2 linked regions of the Tribolium castaneum genome follow. The protein of the gene in region 1 interacts with the protein of each later gene in a pairwise test. Links are inferred from orthologs where the notes say so. Each region holds a gene or a part of one and is shown in the gene's direction. Other genes may lie near its edges.

Region 1 (6,640 bases):
ACTTAGCTCGATATTCGTGTTGACATAATTTTTATTTACAAGATTAAGCAAGTTAAATAAGTCTTACACCGAATTCAATGCAGTGTTTGATCTTCGTTACCCTAAAAAATTTATTTGTTACTTTTAATTGCTCATTGTTATTTATTAAGCATATTTAATTTTTTCTGTTTGCATTCTTTTCGTGATCAAAGAATTGAATAATCCTGCGTGTCAAAAATTATTTACAGCTGTGGTAACTCACTTTTGTAAATGTCACCCTTTCAAAAAGCATTTGGAAAATGTTATGCGAATTGCGAAATTCGCAAATAAAATTTAAAACTGTCGACACAGATATTTATGTATGACTTTCATTTTAAACTTCACAACAAAAGACAATAAAATGCCGAAGCCCATATTCGTTTCTTGACGAGTTGTTTTTAATTTAAAACAACAAAAACAGTAAATAACACATGCAAATCTTCAATGTGATACTTTTGTGTTTGATAAAAAAATCATTTATGGGTATTCCTGTAATAAAAATTAACTTGCATTTTAATAATTTGAACCGTTTGTTCCAATTAAATATTAGATAACATTTTTTATGTGCTGTTGCTAATTCTCTTCATTCAAACAAAGTGACTATGATTTTTATCACATGCATTAGTTTTAAAATTCATTTTCCTTTTGTTATTTCTGATTCTTCTAAAAAATCTTTTTTGTAAGTTGAGAGCAATTCATTTTTTTATCCACGCTGTATAATTATTAATTACGAATCATTGTTACAACTATAATTAAAAAAAAAACTTTGAAAACAAATTAAAGACCAATGCTGTACCTCCATTTACCTTTCTCCACCTATCCATTATAATAAGTCGATTCGTGTGTTTCATAAAGTTACATTATGTTGCTGTCACTTCTTAATATTGACTTAATAATACGCTAACCACATAGTAAACTTGTAAAAACTAAACACACTAAACATATGGAAATTGAAGAAGAAAGGCATAAAGACGTTAAAGTTTACATCAAAAACTAAACATGAACAGACTTTTGACGAAATGATTTGCATCTGAGTAGACTGCAATTTAAGTGCATGTGCATAGGTATAAACATAATAATTACTGTAATGGCCTGACGGTGATCATTGTCGATTTAGATAAGGCTTGAGAAACATTGAGACACTTATACGGATGATGACTTGTCTATTAAAGTTGAAAAATCATCACACTTACATAGCACTTTACCCACTGATCATTAGTGAACAATTACGTACCCATACTTCCCTAGTGTGAAAAAGTGACCATTTTGTGTTATCTAAATGCCCATGCGCCCGTTACTCCTCACGCCAATAAAGTTTAGGGGATCCACAAAATCCATTCTATCTAAAGATTACAAACGTCTTTAGGTATAGATGATCCTTGGCTTCCTGTTGTTTCTAAGGTGATGCTAAAAATATTTTCACCAACAAAGCAAATTAGGAGTGTTTCTAATATCACCTTGGAAATAATACGCAAATATAAAGTCAAAGACATATTTTGTATAGGTGTTCGTGTCTGAAACTGATGACCTCGTATATGTATGTAATCGGTTTAACCAGAATCGAAATTTTATAACCGAAGTTTATAATATATATAGGTATATATGCCTATAAGTATATATAGGTACCTATATATAGGTATATATAGATACTGAATTCAAGAAATCATAGCTATACGCGTAATATATTTTTTGTCAAGTTGTATAGCATAGGTTGGGGTGGTTTTTTACAGGGTCAGAAGGTATAGTATAGACATATATTTTTGATATGATTACGTAAAATGTGGTAATTATAGGGTTATTACGTAGATAATTAAGGCAGCATTGATAAATATACAAGTATTAATGATTCACGGTGCATAATTGCGCGTTAAATAATGTATAGTGCGTGGAATCGGTCGGGTGTAGAGCGTATAGAGTGTGATTTTTTAGGTTATGTATGTACTTCGGGTGCAGCGTATGGTATCGAGTTTTGTGGGGACTTGGGGAGGTTTGTGGGGCGTCTTGGCAACGCTGTTCGGTAGTGCCTGGAACGTCCGTGAGACGGCGCGCGCGCGTTCGTAGCGTCCGCCATTGGGCGAGAGGCGTGTCTTTGCCCTGACAGATCATTCATCTGAGCCCCACTCTGCCCCCTTCGTTCGGCGTGATTGACAGTTGGCAGACGACTGCGGACCGCGCAGGATCTCCGCACGCGCTTCGGACACGGCAGCTCGGCGCACCATCACCACCGAGAGATCTGAGACCCCATCCACCGACCCCATGCCCGAGGGGGCCCCCAGCACCTGCTCGCACCGGCCCAGTGTACACGACAGTGCAGTGAACCGCAGTGAGTGTGATAAAAGTGCGCGCCAAGAGTGACTCTGACGGTGCTACGGTGCGACCACCCGGTGCAGTTCATGGCTCAGCCACGGGTACGAAGTGACCGACGGAGAAGGCGACCAGCGGCCGACACACCGCAGCCGAAACGCGAGATCGCCACTGGACCGCGGCGGTCCGCGCGCGGGCCGACGGCTACCGGTACCACCCCATCACGTGACGCGCCGCGACACTTCGCATCAATCACCCTGTACATCGCCCCACGACAACCATAACATCCAGCGATAAACGCGCCAATGCGAACCGGCCTTAAGACAATCCAATTAACAAACTACAAACCAAAGAGAAACAAAGAGAATATTTTTGAGTTTGGAAAACTTATAAAAAAACAACTATTAAAAGACAATTAACAGTGTTATCCGTGCCAGGAAATGAGAAAATGATTTCAAATTATCTTGTTTTTCTTCACTTGTATCTTTTTCGGAATTCGAATGGTTGAGTTTATGGTCTTCTCCATATTTAAATAAGGACTATAATTAAATTGACCATAAAAAGGCTACAACCTTTTAATTCTTTAAAAGTAGCAAATATAAAATTTTGTTGCAAGTTTTATTGAAGCACACCGGACGAAAAAAGTTTCAAAATTATAGTACCCAATAAAATGATAATTAGAAATTAACATTTCTTTTAAATTTATATGAGAGATTAATTACTCTTGTAAAATTGTGCTAAAGTGTATTTTTTTTCATGGTAAAAAGGCCATAAAAGTTTACTAACTTTTTATTACCGTACAATGGTGGTTAGAAATGATGACATTTGGAATTTTATGAGTTTTTTTAATAAAAGTGGGCCACCTGAATTAAGAGACCAAATAAAATTATTTCAGTATAATAAAATGATGTAACATTTTTCAAAATCTGCAGCTTTAAATTTTATTGCAATAATTAAACAATAAAAGAGAAATGCTGAGTTCAAGTAGCTCACACTTGTCAAATATTGCAATAAAAAAGACCAATAACAAAAAAAACTTGAATAGAATTTATTCAAATATTTATTTGGATTTGTAGTTAAACTTTTTGTTTTTGTTTAAGTGAGCTATTGAAACAATAAAGCTGATTTAAGGATTTTAACTGGAGAATTTGTATGTTATTGAAAAGATACGGGGATGGGGTTGTGAGTGGCGCTTCCTGGTGGCTTGGGAAAACTAAAGCGGAGATTTAACAGTACACGGGAGAAGAGTGGAGGCAGATAACGTTTTATCAGGGAATTGTGGCTGGGTGATGTCTCCGACAAAGCGTCGAGAAGCGGGAAAATAGAAAAATATAACACCGGGATTTCGGGCAGCACCCTTCGGTGGGAAAATCGCGCGCTAAATTATTCCAAGTTCCCTTTTATTTAATTTGGAGTTGTTGGAAATTCGGTTTGTGAAAAGCGGCGCGCGTGTGGCAAAGACTGTTACGGGGCTGTGTGGTCTAATTTGAATGGTTTTATAGAAAAGAGAGTTATAAATTAGATCGAGAGCTTAATTTAATAACCTCCTTAACAGTGAAGCTGCATGTTTTTCGCAGCTAATAAAAATTTTCATGGCTGAATAAAACGAAAAATGTTATTGGCACATAAAATTCATTTATTTTGTTATAATACGGAGTAATAAACTGGATAAAATATCGGATAACTATTTGGGAAACAAATCATAGTTAAATATTATGCGTCCACAATAATTAAAATTCAAATGAGTTTAATTTATGTGTTCGATTCGGACGAAATATCGTTTTTTTATTTGAATGGGTGATTTTGTATTAATCGGAGTGGGCCTAATGGCACGACCATCATAATGGAGGCTTGATTAGTCAATGGTCGCAATTAAAGATCGGGAGTGATGCGTTTCTTGTAATTATAGTTTAGCAGTGGCCTTTCAACGAATACTTTTAATTTCTCTTAAAACCGATGAATAGGCACTTTGGCCGGGCCACGGACAGATACCTTACCTGATTACACACCGTAAATGCCACTCACAAAAACTCACTTTTGGATTATCATCGAGGAATGCAGCGAAGAATGCACCGAAACCCCGGCCCCCTCCCTTAATTCCGTAATTAAATTCGCCCGTATCTAGTAATTAATCGGCGTGTACCTACTCCAAAATTTTAATTAAAATTAGACCATTTATACCAGCGCTCATTTGTTCGCGAATCCATATTCATGAAGCGCCGGAATCGGCGCGAAAAGGCCCGTCGGCCGACGGGCCCCCGTCCAAATCAAAATTTCCGACGATAAAACTTTACGGCTGCGACTCCGGCGGGGCAAAAAACTCGCCTCCATATAACACACGGTCCTCTTTACTACTCCATGAAACTTTACGACGACAACCATTCCAACAAGTTCCTACTTTAGAGCCACTAAAATCCGGGCCGAAAAAAGGCAAATTATCGGCATCCGATCGCGATTCCGCTTCCATCCCCCGATTTTACGACGTTTTAATAAAAATATCATCGCGCCCCTCAACATCTCCAGGAGTGGAAGCCGTCGGCCGCGCTCCAGTGGCGTCGCAAGGTGCGGGAGTGTGTCGTGCGCCACCCATCGAATTAAATTCGATAAAAGTGCGTTATTACAGACTTTGAGAGTCGTAATTATGTGAGTTTATGGCAGTTGTAAAAGGACTGTTCCTCAGTGCTGTGATGTGTCTCCGAGTTGTCGCCTTCTTCGTCGTCGGATTACACTGTTTTTGATTTAATGGCTTTGCTTTACTCCGAATTCTTTTCTAGGTGTAAAAAATTCTTTTTGACCGATTTTTAAAGAATAGTGCGAAACGATTCGACATGGATGTGCTTCAAAAAAATGTAAATATGCCCTTATTATCTCTAACTATAGTCTTGTGGTTTTGGTCGTTTAGTTAGTGGTTTTTTGTGCCCTAAAACCCCAAATTCTTCCACACCCGGGGCCAGCGTTTTCATGACGCTGGCCCACAGGTGCACACACGTGACCGCAACAATTTTCCAAAATTTATTTCACGCCAGAATCTATCCTATAAAAACTAAAACAGTATATTTATGACCGAGTGACAATCCCATACGAATTATATGATCCGGAAAATAGTATCGTTATGATCCATGAAAATTGTAGATTTTTCAAAAAAAAGATAAATATCTGAAATTTGTACAAAGCAACAAAGTGTCTGTTATAATCCGCTTTAATTTTTTACAGATATAAATCAGTAGAAAGACACTAAATAAACTCGCTAAAAATTCAGGTTAAAACGTAAAAATACCAGGAACGAAAATTTAATTTTTGGGTGTCATAAATTTTTCAAGTAATATGAGTTTTTGCTAGTTTCACATTCCCGAAGGCGGCCAGGCGGTAAAGTTGCAATTTAAAAATATCCGAGTGTACATTGCAAGGATAATACTGCAGACAATATTTTTGATTTATGACCACTTGGGAGATATCTTTATTACCATTACTAAAGATATTAATAAAAATCAAGAATTATTCAATTTTATGTAGGCATACAGCCTGGACTCACGTCAGGCAAGAATTTACTCATTTTTTTTAAGTTGGTTAAAACTTCGAAAAAATAAACCTTCAGAAGTGAACAACGAACCAAATCCGCCGCAAATCATTAAACCAAATTAAAATTGGTTTTAAATATGATAATTACGTTGCCAATTACAGTTTCCTTTCAGAACCAGTTTAGTTAAAAATAATTCTTAATCTCTCCAAAAATGTGTTATTGTAGTAAAAAAGGTTGTATCCACAGCATAATTTAAACCATGCATGCATTACGAATATTACGATAACGCCTTTAAAAATACCCGCTAAAATCAGTTACAAACTGTTTATTATGTGTCTGTTTTTATTGTTTAAATAAAAATCAGTAAAACCTCCCGGTGTTACAATTATACAGCGAGATTAACCGCCAAATCCGTTAATCCATTTATTGTACAGTTTAAACTAACTTAAAAATTATTTTAATCTTATCGCAAGATTAGATATTTTAGGCTACGATACCAAATATTTTTTCTCTGTAAGATTGAAGACGACGGGTTTCCTAAAAATTTGGACTGTAGACCAGTGACATATTTATGTAAATTCAGCCGCGACGGTAACTTATATTTTAATCCGGTTTTGGTAAAAATACTTCTCCTTTGATTATTATTCGGTTGGTTTCGAATAAACATTTTATTCGAAATTTAATAGTTTTCACTGAGCAGTGGTGCGAATTTATTGCGTTGTAAAGATAATATTCCAGCGAGTTTAAATTAGATTAGGTATTTTCAATCACCTTTATCGTAGCATAATTAAAATTTTT
Region 2 (5,663 bases), on another chromosome or scaffold:
AAAACCAAAGACGGACGTTTAACAGTTTTGGTTACGCTCTGGACCCCACTGTGGGCAGTGCCGCTGAAGGCACCAAAGTTGTTACAACGACTGGCCAATGCGATGATATTGACCCGGAAGCAAAAACAGTGTTTGAATCAACCAAGCTGAGACCTTTAGATAAGAGAAAACGTAAAAAGAATAACGACCCGAGCGATATTGAGGGGTTTTTGGGGCCCTGGGGTGGTTTTGTGGACGAACAAAGGGTCATGAAGCCGTCTGATGAGGAGGCAGCAGAGTTGGACGAATTATTGTCGAAAAAGAACAAGAAGGGGAAACCCACAGAAGACAAACCAATCGAGGAAAAATCAATTTTGCACAGTAAGAGTGACTATTGGGTGAATTTTGCGAAAATTGCTGGTTTTGTTACAGTTTCAGACGCTGTGGATTATCAGGGAAGGAGTTTTCTACATGCACCTCAAGATGTTGGTGTCAATTTGAAATCGGACAGCCCCCCGGAGAAGTGTTTCCTTCCGAAAGCACATATTCATACGTGGTCGGGGCACTCGAAAGGAATTGCGGCCATTCGGTGGTTCCCCCGAACGGCTCATTTGTTACTGTCTGCTAGCATGGACTGCAGAATTAAGGTCTGTCTAGTGGCCTATGATTCTTAATTTGAATAAGATGGCAGCACCGAATAGTTTAATTTCAGTCACAGCCAACTTAATGTTGGTTTATGAAAAGTCACTATTAGCTTTTTCAAAACTATTAAAAAAAATAATCGTATTTTTTGTTGTAGTTGTGGGAAGTGTATAACGAAAGGAGATTAGTTCGCACCTACTACGGCCATAAGCAAGCCGTTAGGGACATTTGTTTCAATAATTCAGGAAAACTGTTTCTTTCGGCCGGTATGTTTATTTATTTTTTTGGTATATTAACAAAAAAAATGTGATTTAGGTTACGACAGGTATATTAAATTGTGGGATACTGAGACTGGTCAAGTGGTCAAGCGATTTTCAAGCCGCAAAATCCCCTATTGTATCAAATTCAACCCTGATAAGAACAAACAACACCTCTTCGTTGCTGGAACTTCTGATAAGAAAATCATTTGTGTATGTGTGCTTTTTTTTCAGTTTTTGTTTTTTTTTAATTATTTATTATAGTGGGACACCAGATCTGGCGATATTGTCCAAGAGTACGACCGCCATCTGGGAGCAGTTAACTCTATTACATTCGTTGACGACAATCGCCGATTCGTTACGACTTCGGACGATAAAAGTTTGAGGGTCTGGGAGTGGGACATCCCCGTTGATATGAAATACATCGCAGACCCGACCATGCACAGCATGCCTGCTGTGACGCCAGCACCCAATGGAAAATGGTTGGCTTGTCAAAGCATGGACAACAAAATTGTCATTTTCTCGGCATTAAATCGCTTCAAAATAAATCGAAAAAAGACGTTTACGGGACATATGGTGGCTGGGTATGCCTGCACACTTGATTTTTCACCAGATTTGAGGTTTGTTATTATTTTTTTAACAGTTGTAGGTTTTAACAATTTTTTTTGTAGTTATTTAGTGTCGGGTGACGCCGATGGTAAGTGCTACATCTGGGATTGGAAAACTACAAAGTTGTATAAGAAGTGGAAAGCGCACGATAATGTCTGTATCAGTGTGCTGTGGCATCCGCACGAGCCGAGCAAGTTAGTGACAGCAGGCTGGGATGGACTTATCAAATACTGGGATTAAGTTTCCAAGAAGGTGTAAATTTTAAGCGAAATAAAATATTTTAATTAGAAGATACGTCCTTTCGCTATGGTCACGTGATCGTTATAACCAATCAACGTAAGCGATTTCGGTCACCTGACTTATGTCTACGGTGAAACGTCACTCATTTTGCGTTTTTAAATGCCTACGTCTAATTTTGACAGCGAGATTTTAATTCCGCCGTTAAAGCATTTAAAAGATTAGAAAAAAATTAGATAAAAAATGATGTTTTTGCAATTGGAAAAAAATAAAGAATGATTATTAGTATTTTATTTAATAGTAATTAAATTTTCTAACATCAGCATTTGCTTTTTTTTCAAAAAATCTTTGTTCTCTAAATCGTCCTTTTAATTATTAATTTTTTTAATTAATTAATTTTTTCTCAAACTGTATTTTTTCGTCTTTGCAACAATCACACATTAAATTCACTTTCAAAAGACAATAAGTTGCTACTTTCGTTCGTTCCTATGTTGATTTCTAAATTTTCTAGATAATTTAAATGGAGAATTAAATACTTTAATGGGACTTTAATTTTTAAATATATATTTAAAATGATGAAACGGGGTGTTCAGTATTATAACTAATTAAGTCCGTTAGACGAGTTTTGAGTTACACAGGTCCGGACTTTGCTGGTATTTTGCAAATTTGTTTTATGGTGGAGTGGCATAGTTTTTTGGTAATGACTAAAAGACAACGTAGATTGTGAAATAACGTAATTAGAGTATGATTTTACAGCATACGTTTCTATTTTCTATATTTTTCTCAAAATTGACACAACTTTTGGTCATTTACTTCAGATTTTTTGCTGTTGAATGACTGTTAGATGCTGATTTCAAGAGAATCAACGATTTTTTCTATCATTAGTTCTCTGGTCCTCCCTAGTTTGTGAATGAATCCAAGTATAAACAACTCTCGCTTTAGTAAACCACTTTTTCCAATCCGTGCCAAAATTTGAATATCATCCAAAGGCCATAAATCTCCCCCACCCGCCCCTCAAAATCCATAAAATTCCTGCTTTCGCGCATGCGCCCCTACTACCCATCCCGCAAACATCCTCCCGCTTTGTTTACGTATGCTGTCAAGCGCGTCCATTTCCTAGTGCCGTTTGCGTGCCCCCATGGACGACCCCGGCAGAATGATGGGCCACACCGGCGGCGGCCTGATGCCCCCTCAGCCGTACATGAACGCCCAGGACGCGCCCGCGGGCGGCGAGAACGAGCCCCGCAAGCAGGACATCGGTGAGATCCTCCAGCAGATCATGAACATCACCGACCAGAGCCTCGACGAGGCCCAAGCGCGCAAACACACCCTCAACTGCCACCGCATGAAGCCGGCCCTGTTCTCCGTGCTGTGCGAAATCAAGGAGAAGACGGTGCTCAGCCTGCGGAACACGCAGGAGGAGGAGCCCCCCGACCCCCAGCTGATGCGGCTCGACAACATGCTGATCGCCGAGGGGGTGGCGGGCCCCGAGAAGGGCGGCGGCGCGGGGGCCGCCGCCTCGGGCTCCGCCGCCGCCCAGGCCGGCCAGCCCGACAACGCCATCGAGCACAGCGACTACAGGGCCAAACTCGCCCAAATCCGCCAAATCTACCACCAAGAACTGGAAAAGTACGAACAGGCGTGCAATGAGTTCACCACACACGTTATGAACTTGCTGCGGGAGCAGTCCCGGACTCGCCCAATCACCCCGAAGGAAATCGAGCGGATGGTGCAAATCATACACAAGAAATTCTCCTCGATTCAGATGCAGCTGAAACAGTCGACTTGCGAGGCTGTTATGATCCTCAGATCGCGGTTTTTGGACGCCAGAAGGAAACGCCGGAATTTCAGCAAGCAGGCGTCGGAAATTCTAAACGAGTATTTTTACTCGCATTTGTCTAATCCCTACCCCAGTGAGGAGGCGAAGGAAGAGTTGGCTAGGAAATGCGGGATCACAGTGAGCCAGGTGTCGAACTGGTTCGGGAACAAACGAATCAGGTACAAGAAGAACATCGGGAAGGCGCAGGAAGAGGCCAATTTGTACGCGGCGAAGAAGGCGGCAGGGGCGTCGCCCTACAGCGGCACCCCGACCCCCATGATGTCCCCAGCGCCCCCGCAGGACTCCATGGGCTACTCCATGGGGTCGGCCTACGACCAGAGCTCAGCCTATGACGCCAGTAGCTGTGGTTACGACCCAATGCACGCACAGGAACTGTCGCCCTAATCAAACCCTAGCTTAATTTTAAGGAAATACAGTTGTATACTAACCCATGTATACCGAATTTTGTATCGTGTACAGTGTGTTTCTGGGTTCAATTGCTTCAAGTTTTACTTTTCTGATAGTATAGGACGTACTTGCAATATATTTTTAGGTTGATTGTTTTAGGAGTTAAGGCGAGTTTTTCTTCAGTATTTTTTGTATATTTACTTATTTTTATCGATAAGGAGCAGCTGGGTGAGAGAACTTTGCTTTAACGCCGAGGTTTTTCCATCGAAAATGAAATTACAGTGCTTACTATTTAAATAAATAACTGTAGTAACACGTGGATCATTTTTTCAACATACATGAAATAATCACAGAAAATCCTACATGGAAATAAAGGGCGTAGAGAGACTCACGTGAATAAAAGCCCCATAAAAATTAACTCACTAAAAAAAAACAATCACTGTCATTGTGGATAGATTTATAAAATAATTACTCAGATGTCAATAAAAGTTTTAGATTTTTTAGACGAAGCGTCGTTAATTTAATTCGCAATTAAATGCGTGATTAACTGGACACGTGACCAAATTAAAGAAATGTGATTGGTGATTTAAGAGGTATGCAGAAATAACTTTCTAGGATAAAATTTAGTTCCTCTGTAAACCGAGATTCTAGGGGTGCAATTTCAGTTGGGACACCCTGTATAGAGACCAGAGGGGGAACGTAATACCCACTTATTACATAAATCACAACTTATCGTGAGCTTTTTTCTTTTTGGTATATGGGTATTTTTATCTGTGTGGGCTTTAAATTTTTCTGCTCAGACCCCACAATTAAATTTGCCGCTGTGACACTTCCAGTTATACCAACACTACACCGAGTTGGGCCCGTCGATATACGCTTATTTTGGCTTAAATTTTATTATTTTTGCTTTGATAACCACTTTGCGTGTTTAGCGAAACAATCATTGTGGAAATTCGCCCGAAAACGGTCAATTTTGGGTCAATTCCGCGTCTGGTGTGTGTCGTGTGGGTGTCAGCCCTGCCAAAACAAAAACCGATCAAATGTCAAATTCCTGACGTCCACACTTATTTACTCACATTTCCACCTCAAATCGTCTCTCATTTCGCATAATGTGTTTAAAAGTGTCATTTTCCCTCCTGGATTAACTCACAGTCGTGGTGCACGCCCCGCTCGTCGATGATGTAGTGGCAGGTTGCAAGGAGGCGTAATAAGATATTGTGTTGTCTCGAGTGGCCCCACACTATGGAGGATAGTTTGAGCGTGAAATCAAATGAGTCGGTGGCAACGAGCGAAGAGTTTGATTTCGTTGGGGACAAGCCTGCGAACAAGACGCCCACGTTGGATATTAAGGGGGATCTAAGCGAGTTGAAGAGTGCCTTGACGGAGGTGCTGCAGGAGTCGGGGAGGAATATGGACGAGGTGGACGGCAAGGAGAAGAAGATCGGGCATTCGACGTTTTATGGGTGTTTGGTGGAGCCGGGGAAGGACCCGCTGTCAAGGACGGGGGAGGACAGTCCCGGGGAAAAACAGGACTCGGTCAAGCAGGACTCCAATGAGGAGGAGGAAGGTGAGGAAGCTGCGAAAAAGTTACGTTTGTTGCCTTATACGACCGTGAAATTGTTGATAAGAGAAGTGTATCTAAAATTATTCATTCTTTGTTGTGGTGGTGATGTCATGACGTGTTTATTTACAAATGCAAATTGAAGTAATTG

What was found.
Region 2: the proteins of hth (region 1) and exd interact in binary tests that used the Drosophila melanogaster proteins (3 or more experiments, as listed by UniProt). The link is inferred for Tribolium castaneum from reciprocal best matches to the Drosophila melanogaster genes hth and exd.

Annotation. Positions count from the first base shown.
Region 1 is NC_087396.1:11,433,747-11,440,386, reverse strand, and holds the start of hth (homothorax), read left to right. Parts: upstream 1-2,177; 5' UTR 2,178-2,411; coding exon of another isoform or gene 2,412-2,426; intron 2,427-5,096; 5' UTR 5,097-5,150; coding exon 5,151-5,171; intron 5,172-6,640. UniProt on the Drosophila melanogaster protein: All isoforms are required for patterning of the embryonic cuticle. Acts with exd to delimit the eye field and prevent inappropriate eye development.
Region 2 is NC_087400.1:5,270,306-5,275,968, reverse strand, and holds exd (extradenticle), read left to right. Parts: upstream 1-2,858; 5' UTR 2,859-2,862; coding exon 2,863-3,948; 3' UTR 3,949-4,266; downstream 4,267-5,663. Other genes in the region: pre-mRNA-processing factor 17, read left to right, coding at 1-360, 412-626, 779-887, 937-1,091, 1,143-1,498, 1,550-1,727; GAPcenA (rab GTPase-activating protein 1-like), read left to right, coding at 5,194-5,518. UniProt on the Drosophila melanogaster protein: Transcription factor which acts with the selector homeodomain proteins altering the regulation of downstream target genes such as wingless (wg), teashirt (tsh) and decapentaplegic (dpp), thus affecting segmental identity.